Danio rerio: one gene and its partners. Each later gene encodes a partner of the first gene's protein in a complex. Links are inferred from orthologs where the notes say so. Each region holds a gene or a part of one and is shown in the gene's direction. Other genes may lie near its edges.

Region 1 (3,691 bases):
TTATGACCTACCTCGAAGAAACCGAGAAAGTATCACACAACTTAGCTTGTTGACTGGTTAGTTTAAATGTTAACATGTACAGGATGACATCATCTGCCACAAATGACTCATAGCTAGTGTATATACACGGCTACGTGAATGATTAAAACCAATAGAAAAAAAACAGTGTAGATGAAAAATAGTAATTTTGAACATATTGTTTAGATTTCTAGTAAAGTGTACACTTATTTTTTTTATATATGTATTCATTATTTTCAATTTTACTTACTGTACTACCGGGACAACGTGCATAAACGCCACTTCCTGTTTGAAATGGAAGCTTGGGTATTGTAGTTTTTCTTCAGTGGAAGGTCCGAATTGTTTCCGCGAATCGATTCTTTTGCACAGTTCAATTTGGGCATATTTTAATTTCAATTTTGCACCTGATTTATGTATATGACATAAAATGACTCAAAAAAACATGGATTATGGTTTCATATGTTGTTGTTGTTAATGAAATATATTTATTGTAATTCAGTGTGTTGCACTGTAATTATGTTTATTCCAGCCAAATTGCATGACACGAACGAAACTTGCATTTAAAATGTACAATACTAAACATTAATTAACTAATTTTGCTGGAATTTTTTGCACATTTCGTTGCTAACTCGACTTCTTGGCCAGTGATTTGTAAATGAATATTCAGGTAAGATCTCATTAAGGCCTGCTCAACTGAATCATCAAAAAGATCCGATTCACCCTGAAGAAGATTCACTCAAGGATCAAGGCTTGCTCGAAGGCATTCGGGGATTACGGAAGAGCTCACGTCAATTACGAATATCAAAATATACCTCGTTCACCATGTAAAAAACACCAGAAGAACATTTTGGTGGATTATTTGGACTGTACCGATGGCTGTTCAGCGTGAGAGACAAGAGCAGCTGTGAGTCACGCACACACACGCGTTGTTGTGATCTAAGCGCGTGACTTTCCCATCACATGACACACAAGACTGAAAAGGACAACATAAACACAATAAAACTATTAATTACGATCGCGTTTCAGGATAAATTTACTAAGCTCTGTATCGATGAGAATAACGACCCATTTATGTTGAATAGTAGTTATACGTTAAATTGTAAGGAAGGCTGATGAACATGCAGAACCTGTAGATGGTTGCCATTGTCAACGCTTTGTAATGTAATGTTCAGTTGTTCATAATTTACTGTAAGTACCAGTCGGCGCTAAAGCTTCACGCAGCTAACACAGGTAAGGAACGTGTGTCTTTTTATTTAGGTTTGTGAATACATAAAAATGAACAAATATATTGTATACCTTTCTACATAACTAAGGCGTTATATTGTATGTTGTAACATACGTATTCTGGATTGTTGTATTTAAATTTGCTGATGACTTCCTTAATTACATTTGTTGAATGTTTTTTTTTTCACTCCTTTAACGAAATCTTAAGATTATGGATAAGAATAGGGTTGTTATATTTTAAATTTATTGAAATATGCTGTATGTAGAGTGATTAAAATCTAAAATCGCAAACTCAAACTGAGTAATAAAACAAACATTAAAATATGCCTATGTTATTATTTTACAACTAGTTAGTTAACTTTATTTTTAACTTTAATTGACAGTATGATGCTGGCTGGATATCTCGCAGTTAAAACTTTATATTCACTTTTTTTTTTATTATTTCATCTTTATTCCTCATAATACGGATTATTTCTCTGTCCATTACACATGTAAACATTATTTTCTACCATGACTTTATATATTTCTCTATTACATTTTTTTTTCAGAATTGATGAGTATTTCACAGCTGTAAAAATATCTCACAATCACAACATTATTTTTCATAAATGAAACTTTATTTCACATAAGCACCATTGTTCTTCTTTGTAAATCTTACATTTGCAAATATATCTCACAATTGTGACTTAATATCTTACAACCACAGCTGTGTGTCTTAGAATTGCAGCTTATTTTGTGTCTCACAGTTGTGAATCTATTTCAAAAAGTGCTAGTGGAAGTCACACAAGGATACTTTTGTATCAAATAGTTTATTAACATTGCAATACTTATAACATGATATATACATCTGTGATATTTCAACAATTGTAATATTTTGCACAGTCCTACAATAATCCCTCCTCAACACTGTGATGTGACTGTTTCAGTTATTGAGGTAGCACACATTTTGATGTCTAATAAATCTAAGGAATATTTAACAATGATGTAATATCTTATAATTATTTTATATCTTACAATTGCATTTTTTTCTCACAGTTTTGTCTTTAAATCTTACAATTTACAACCTTATTTCACAACATAATTCTGCCTTTATTTGTTATAATTGCAATTTTAATTATCATAATTGTGACTGTCTTAAAATTGCAGCTTTATTTATCATATTTACTCTTGTATATTTTACAATTACAAATTAATTTTATAGCAACTAAGACTTTATTTCTCACATTAATTGTGACATTGTTTCTCAATTTTAATTTTACTTGTCGTACTTGCTCTTGTATTTCTCACAATTGGATGCTTCTATTTAATATATCTTACAAGTGAAACTTTATTTCTTATTACTGTGAAGATGTCGAAATGCTATTCGCTTGTTAGGTCTACCGTCAAGCAACACAGCTTTCAGGTCCAAGCACTTTCATCAAATGGTACTAGTAGCAACACACAGAGCACAGTAATATTTTTGAAAGTTATGATAAATATATTTAGATCCATGCCTAATATCAGATGGCTCAGATGAATGTTTTTTTTTTGAAATTGGTAAAATATTGGTGGAAGTCCAGAGAACTTCAGCTTAGTCCTTGAATAATTGAGTCCCTGTAATTGAGTAATTGGTGGTACATTCCGCCGTGGTTCATTCTGACTTTGTAAGAAGCTTACTTTACCATGTGTTATATAAATAAAAAGTGGTCATAAACAAATATTTGCTCAATTCAAATGAGTAGTGACTTGGACCAGGAAACAGTATTCCATACATTATGATTTAACAAGCAGATTATTGTGCGGCTTTAAAAGGACAGTTTACCCAAAAATGACAATTCTGTCATCCTATACTTACTCTTTTCTTGGTTCAAATCATTAAGACTTTCTTTCTTCTGTTGAACAAAAAAGATGATATTTAGAAAAATGTCAAAAACCTGTAACCGTTGACTTTCATAATACTTGTTTTCCTATTATGGAAGCCAAAGGTTACACGTTTTCAGCTTTCTTTATTATATCTACCTTTCTGTTCAACAAAATAAAGAAACTCATGAAGGTTTAGAAGAACCACATGGTGAGTAAATAGTCAGTAAATATTCATTTTTGGATGAATTACCCCTTTAAACCACAAGTGTCGAAGCCAGTTCCTGCAGGGCCGCAGCCCTGCACGGTTTAGTTCCAGCCCTGCTTCAACACACTGAAGCTGCAATCACACTGCACTTTTCTCCCCATAGACTTACATTCATACGCACGCAAATGCGTCAGAATGGAAACGCAAGCTCGTGCGATAAGTTTTGCAGTATGCTGCATTGCAAACTTCAAGTTTGGTGAACTCTGACCTGCAAAATCACATCACGTGATTGCGTGAGACCTCTCCCGCTCTGACCTTTCTGCACAGAAATTTAAATCATGGAACAATCGCTCGCTGTTTTTAAATGTCTAATCATCTTGTTTAACACCGCCTCTTTTTGCA
Region 2 (3,761 bases), on another chromosome or scaffold:
ACATTGGCATCTCTTGCTCTTTCTGTGAAACCTCTTCTGAATCTGTTGCTCACTTGTTTCGGGAGTGTCCCTCTGTTAAATCTTTTTGGTCTAATGTAAACTCTCTAATTATCCAAAAGGTTTGTGGAGATTTTTCTTTAAGCTATAGACATATTATTTTGTGGTTTTATATTAAAGGAAAAGAATTCCTTAATTCAACTTTTTGCATAAACCACATTTTATTTATTGGAAAGTTTTTTATACACAAATGCAAATATACTCATTGTAAGCCTATTTTTTTTTTTTTTTTTAAACGAGAACTAGCTCTTTATTTAAAAAAAAACCCATCACAGACTCTCACAATAAGAAAGCTATTAAAACTTATAAAATATGTGCTTTATTTAATATCCTGCAATAATTTGTTTAATCTTTGTCATGTGCCCTTAATTATTATTATTATTTCTCTCTCTCTCTCTCTCTCTCTCTCTCTCTCTCTCTCTCTCTCTCTCTCTCTCGTTGTCTTTATTTTGATTTACCTATATTATATTTGTTCTAAATTTGTTACATTCCACTTTTTCAAAAAGTAATATTTCTATTGATTGTACCATACTTTCAGTTTTGTATCTGTATTTGTTGTAAAGTACTGTTATTATTGCAAAAAAAAAAAAAAAAAAAAAGCATGATGTTTCTTAAAGGTTTTTCATAAAGGTTTCCTAAAGGTTTTTCATACATATATATATATACATATATATACATATATATACATACATATATATACATACATATATACATTCCATATATACATACATACACACACTAGATATCGCATAGGGACCCTGAGCATGCGTCAATAGCGCCGCCACATTGGTACAGTGCTCCCAGTACAAATGTCATTCAACCGCACTAGTCAAGTCAGTGTTATTACGTGAAGATGCGGGACTTTAGCGAGCAAAACAGAAAACAAAGCACAAAGGCAGAACATTCCATAGGTAATAAAAAGTTTTTTCTGTTTTTGTATGTTCTGAACTTTTGTGCTAATCAGGTAACGTTATTGATGAAAACAGTGACTTACTGCATTCACCATAAGGCAAAGCAGCTCCAACTCGCTCCCGCTCCGTCAGTATGAGAAGTGAAAGCAGGAGAGGAGCTGTGTTTCAGGACATGATTAGATCAAATTTAACAGGGAGGGTGGATAGTACATTTCTGTACACACAAACACAAGCTTTTTGTCAGGAATGTGATGTAAAATTATAATTTTCGTAATTAGAAAAAAAAAATTACATACAACATCCAGGAAAACTCCCGATCATAGATATATGTGTATATCTCTGGCTTTGGATGGCCACAGTCCTCCACTGTACCTTGGTCCTGCATTCATTTCAAAGGAGCGCTACCCTGTAGCAAGATGGCGGCGCTATTGACGCATTCCGTCCAATAGACAACAATAGGCCAGGCGACATCTAATGTATATATCTATGAAGGTTTTTAACGGGTTTTTGGGGCGGAACTGACGTGCCAGTGTGGAGACGGAAGACACGTGACACGATTGGGAGTGCTGTCATGTGATGGTTTCTGCGTTTGCAGCAAATCTCTTCACAGCCAAGAGGCAAACACAACCTCAAAAACGCTCCTGAGACGAATAAAAAACCCAAATTCAGGATACTGAACCCGCTGGGCGGCCATCATGGGGTGCTGTTTCAGCAGCGACAGCGAGACGACGGATCCGGTAACTCAAAACACTAATAATGCAGCTTAATGTAGCGTCTGTAGTCCTGCAACAACATTTACTAACGACACACTTTCAATACAGTTGTGTGTTTGTGATTCAAGAACAGCTCAATACTGAGTGCTTGTCAAAACTACAACAAACTTAATCCACTAACGCTACTTTATTTATGTATATTTGATCATTAACGTGTGTTTGTAATGAACTGAAGCTGGTGTTTCGGTGGAGTTAGTCTTAAATTGGGAGTTTTGTGTTGGATGTGGGTCTAATGTGTCAGATCTGACATGTGCTAATGCTAATGTTTGGGGAAATGTAGTGTTAGGGTTTCCACAATGATGGAAAAGTTAAATATATTAGTGCATTTTAGGCCTGGGAGTTTTTATAACAGTTGTACGAAAATATGGGGAGTATTTATGATTTTATTGAGTGAAAAAGAAAAAAAATTAAGCCAATCGTGAAAAGGTTTATTAAATTAAAATGTGCAAATTTTGTTGGATTTACACTAAAAGTTAGTTTTATGCTGTCCAATGCTGAAAAATAACTTAAAATACCAATAATAATGCAGCTTAATGTAGTGTCTGTAGTCCTGCAACAACATTTACTTACGACACACTTTTAATACAGTTGTGTGTTTGTGATTCAAGAACAGCTCAATACTGAGTGTTTGTCAAAACTACAACAAACTTAATCCACTAACGCTACTTTATTTATGTATATTATATCATAAGCGTGTGTTTGTAATGAACTGAAGCTGGTGTTTCGGTGGAAATAGTCTTAAATTGAGAGTTTTGTGTTGGATTTGGATCTAATGTGTCAGATCTGACATGTGCTAATGCTAATGTTTGGGGAAATGTAGTGTTAGGGTTTCCACAATGATGGAATAGTTAAATATATTAGTGCAGTAATTCTCAAACTTTTTTCATCAAGTACCACCTCAGAAAAGATTGTTCCTCCAAGTACCACCATAATGACCGGTATTGAAATACAGTAGCGTAGTAGGCCCAGTAAAACAGCTGCAGCTCTGCACAGTTTAATAACGTGGTAAAATAACTACTACTATTAAGGATATTTATTATTATAAGCCACTTTAAACATTATAAATAGTAACATTAAGACTGTACTCTGCTTATATGTAAACAAACAAACAAAAAAATTAATGTTAACGTTTAAATTAATGTGCTTTTAAAGGTTTAATAAAAATGGTAGGTTACTGTCCTTAAATAGAAAAAAACTGCTGTACTTAAATGTAAAGTCCTATTTATCAAAACCTGGAAATGTTGCTTGGACCTCATAAATAGGCTATATGTCATCATATTCATATTCAAACCATTTTTGATAAATTTTGAAATATATGTTGCTTGTACGTGACATGTAGGATTCCTCTGCGTACCATTAGAAGGAAGCCTGCGTACCGCTAGTGGTACACGTACCACAGTTTGAGAACCACTGTATTAGTGGATTTTAGGCCTGGGAGTTTTTATAATAGTTGTACGAAAATATGAGGAGTATTTCTGATTTTAGTGAGCTAAAAAAAAAAAATTAATTAAGCCAATCGTGAAAAGGTTTTTAAATTAAAATGTGCAAATTTTGTTGGATTTACACTAAAAGTTAGTTTTATGCTGTCCAATGCTGAAAAATAACTTAAAATACCAATAATAATGCAGCTTAATGTAGCGTCTGTAGTTCTGCAACAACATTTACTTACGACACACTTTTAATACAGTTTAATGCAGTTATGATTTTAGTTGGTTTTAAATAATAAACTGAAGCCAAACGTGAAAATGTTTTAAATTAAAATGTCTAAATATTGTAGGGTTTGCACTAAAAGTTGGTGTTATGCTGTCCAGTACAGACAAATACCCAAAACACTAATAATGCAGCTTAATGTAGCGTCTGTAGTCCTGCAACAACATTTACTTACGACACATTTTTAATACAGTTGTGTGTTTATGATTCAAGAACAGCTCAATGCTGAGTGTTTGTCAAAACTGCGTCAAAATTATTCCAGTTACGCTACTTTTTTTATGTATATTTGATCATCAACGTGTGTTTTTTT
Region 3 (3,761 bases), on another chromosome or scaffold:
TTTTTTTCTGTATGTCTACTAAGGTGTTATACATAATATAATTTTATTATTGTATTAAATGCATATACAGCGCATACTTTGATGTTTCAAATAACTCTTCTGAAAATTAAATGCAAGCATGGGTGAAATTATAATCAAAATCAGACATTATTGCATATTTATGTAAATACCAAACTACATATTGACTTGGACTTGTACTTATTCATATAGACCATTTCATTGTGGTGATGACATTGGCCTATGCTTGATATCAAAGAAACAATTGAATAATAACTTAATTCTAAAAAAGCTATCATAACATTATTTATCAATAAGCAGGCTCTTTTTAGATTCTCGTAAGCTATAAAAATTAAAAATGTAAAACAGAAAATACGTTGGAACATTTGTTTTTGTTTACATTCCTCAAAATGATCTATCGTCAGAATAAGAAGAGATCAGACAAACATGTTCTTATATTTAAATTATTCAAAATTGATCAGTAGTTTGAAGAATAGTGACAAAGGATATTTAAATGACAATTGTCAATAGGGGCTGCACTGTAATTCATAATATTAATAGTTTGATATGTCTTTAATAGTTTCTTGCAAATATGATTGACAGTTTACTGGTGTATATAAAATATTGTTAAACTAAAAGACATTTAAGTGGGTTTCTTGACAAATTTAGGTAATTATTACTACATAAAAATAATTTATATATAAATGTTTTTTCTAAAATATTTGGCTGATATGATAGATAGATAGATAGATAGATAGATAGATAGATAGATAGATAGATAGATAGATAGATAGATAGATAGATAAACATAAATATTTTTTTAAAAAGCAAGTCTTCATCCATATATTTGTAATGACACATATTTGATAATTAGATTGTAATATATGATGTTGAGTCATTCAGACATTTAGGATCGTGTCACTTACTTGAAGGTCTCCTCTATCTCTGTAACGCTGGTTTCCTTCTCCACCACCAAGAAATTGGGTTTACGGTTTTTATTGAGCTCTCCGATCCCTCCGAGGAGAAATCCGGTGCACGTGTCTTCATCACCGATAACTGCGATTAATTTTCCTCGTCCGGGCATCGTGACTTTGTCTTATATTTTGCTCAAATAAAAGACGCAGAATGGACGAAATGTTTTCCGTTCAGCAGGATCATATGCTTTAATCAGCTGACCACTTCACTTCCGCTTTGCGTAGTCGCGTAAGCGCCTTATTTAGCTGATCTGAGATCTGTGCTGCTCGCGTTAACGACCGACCTGTGTGCGGTGATTATGACAGCGAATCTGATCCTGATACAGATTATTTTTTGTTAAATGCGAGAACAGCGCATAAATCCTAGCAAATTAAATAAAAATCCGCCACGTTTTAGTCATACTAAGATTTTTTATCACATTTTGTACGTTTCCAATGCATATAAACAAAAATAATGTCGAATAAGCAAAACATCTCCTGGAATGACGTTATAAACACGCGACGCTTGATGTCAGTCACGTGAGGCGGGGTGTGAAGGAAAACAGCAGTGTACATTTATCTGCACTGTCTAAAATGGTAAATATAATTCTTACCTTTAAAATATTTGTTTAATTAAATGTTTTTTTTATTAAATGTTTTGTTTTAGTGCATTTAGAACTTATAAAACAAAGATTTTGTAAATAATGTGATTGATGATGCAGTCTAATATCATATGAGCTCTGTTAGTGTTTAATTACAGTATTATCGTGTGTTGAATGTCAGACTACTGCTTTGACTCAAGGCTTGGAGAGAATACCCGATCAACTTGGGTACTTGGTTATTAGTGAAGACGGAGTACTCGCGGTAAGCTGTTAAAATTCATAACTTACATTTTCGGAGAACTTGACATGAGGGTGAAATGCGTTGAAAAGAGAATCCTGATTTGGGCAAATGAGAAATAATTAATTAGAATTCAATGTCTGTCAGTCTTATTGTTCTGTCTGTCTCTGTTTGCCTGTCTACACTTTGAGGCAAAATTATTACGCCTCTACTGATACATATTATTTAAAAAAAAATTCCCAAGTTATGATGAACTGAGCAATGACATTTTCACAGTATTTTCTATAATATTTTTATTCTTGAGAAAATTTTTTATTTCTTTTATTTTGTCTGGAATAAAAGCAGTTTTTAAATAAAAAAATAACAATTTTAATAGGTTAATAGGCCCTTAGAACAAAATAATGGTATTCAATGACTTGCCTAGTTAAACTTATTAACCAAGTTAAGCCTTTAAGTTACTCATTAAGATGAATTCTAATATCTTGTAAAATAACTAGCAAAATATTATGCAGTGTTATCATGGCAAAGACAGATTCTGTTAAAAAATATATATATTACAACTATTATTTTTAAAAATGTGTTGAGAAATCTTCTTCCTTTTGAACAGCCTTCATGAAAATAAATTAAAAAAGGAAAATATTTATTTATTGCCAATAATTGTGCCTTTAACTGTATCTATCTATCTGTCTGTCTGTCTGTCTGTCTGTCTGTTGGACACACCTGGCTCAAGGGGTTATCTCTCTCTCTGTCTCTTTCTATATATTCGATAGGTTCTATGTTTTAATCATATAATCAATTTATCATTTACAGTTGAGTCAGAATTATTAGCCTTGCTGTTTAATTTTAAATCTTTTATATTTTTCCCCAATTTCTGTTTTACAGAGAGATTTTTTTTCAACACTTTTCTAAACATAATAGATTGAATAACTAATGAATTTCTTTTATCTTCGCCATGATGACAGTACATACTATTTTACTACATATTTTTCAGGATAATAGTATTCAGCTTCAAGTTCAATTTAAAGGCTTAATTGGGTTAATTAGGTTAAGGAAGATACTTAGTTTAATTAGTAATTTAATTAACAATAATTTGTTCTGTAGACAAGTTAAAAAAATATATTGCTTGGGGGGGGGGGGGTAATAATAATTGAGTTAAAATGGTATGAAAAGCTGCTTTTATTCTGGCCAAAATAAAACAAATAAGACTTTCTCCAGAGGAAACAATATTATATGAAATAATGTGAAAATGTCCTTGCTCTATTAAACATAATTTGGGAAATATTTAAAAAAGAAAATATCATAGGGGGATTAATAATGACTCCACTTGTCTCAGTTAAGCAGTAAGTGAATGTTTTTTGTAATCTACAGTCGGCAGGAGAGCTGGAGAATGACGAGCACACAGCAGGAGTGATCATGCAGATGGTCCGAACAGCTTGTCGCTTCAGATTACATGGGACTGCAGAGCCCCCATTCAAGCGCATGTCTGGTAAGAAACGCACTTCATTTTTAGATAAATGCTGAATGATGATAGAACAATATTTCACTCATATTTTGTCATTTAATTTTCAAAAAATGTGATGTGAATTATTAAAGTAAACATGCTTGTGTAACATCAGGTTTATGTAATATTCAGATATCACTGTAGTATTAGTGTTTATTTGTAACATTAGGTTTAAGTATTATCCAGATATTTTTACAGTTTGAAATAGTTTTTATCTTTACATTTTGTGTTTTTTCTATTTAAAGTTTAAGCAATTTTGTTATGTATTTCTATCAGTTGTGTTTTTAAATAGGTCTGTTTAAAAAAAAAAAGGTTTTATTAGTTTTTATGGTTTCATGTGTAACCATTTTAAGTCTTTTTTTATCCTCTTGATTTTGTTTAGGAACAAAATAGCCCTAATAAAATAAAATAACCCTCTTTAATTTGTTGTTTTAATTAAATTTATTCAATAAGAAATAATTGATATATGA

The links.
Region 2: flcn (region 1) and lamtor1 share a complex: the UniProt entries of both Homo sapiens proteins name them as parts of the lysosomal folliculin complex. The link is inferred for Danio rerio from reciprocal best matches to the Homo sapiens genes FLCN and LAMTOR1.
Region 3: flcn (region 1) and lamtor4 share a complex: the UniProt entries of both Homo sapiens proteins name them as parts of the lysosomal folliculin complex. The link is inferred for Danio rerio from reciprocal best matches to the Homo sapiens genes FLCN and LAMTOR4.

The regions. Positions count from the first base shown.
Region 1 is NC_133191.1:14,148,687-14,152,377, forward strand, and holds the start of flcn (folliculin), read left to right. Parts: upstream 1-752; 5' UTR 753-922; intron 923-966; exon of another isoform or gene 967-1,248; intron 1,249-2,869; exon of another isoform or gene 2,870-3,372; intron 3,373-3,691. UniProt on the Homo sapiens protein: Multi-functional protein, involved in both the cellular response to amino acid availability and in the regulation of glycolysis.
Region 2 is NC_133190.1:46,803,255-46,807,015, reverse strand, and holds the start of lamtor1 (ragulator complex protein LAMTOR1), read left to right. Parts: upstream 1-1,480; 5' UTR 1,481-1,663; coding exon 1,664-1,705; intron 1,706-3,761. UniProt on the Homo sapiens protein: Key component of the Ragulator complex, a multiprotein complex involved in amino acid sensing and activation of mTORC1, a signaling complex promoting cell growth in response to growth factors, energy levels, and amino acids.
Region 3 is NC_133179.1:20,644,438-20,648,198, forward strand, and holds the start of lamtor4 (ragulator complex protein LAMTOR4), read left to right. Parts: upstream 1-1,484; 5' UTR 1,485-1,544; coding exon 1,545-1,547; intron 1,548-1,697; coding exon of another isoform or gene 1,698-1,733; coding exon 1,734-1,814; intron 1,815-3,158; coding exon 3,159-3,276; intron 3,277-3,761. Other genes in the region: atp6v1f (V-type proton ATPase subunit F), read right to left, coding at 924-1,081. UniProt on the Homo sapiens protein: As part of the Ragulator complex it is involved in amino acid sensing and activation of mTORC1, a signaling complex promoting cell growth in response to growth factors, energy levels, and amino acids.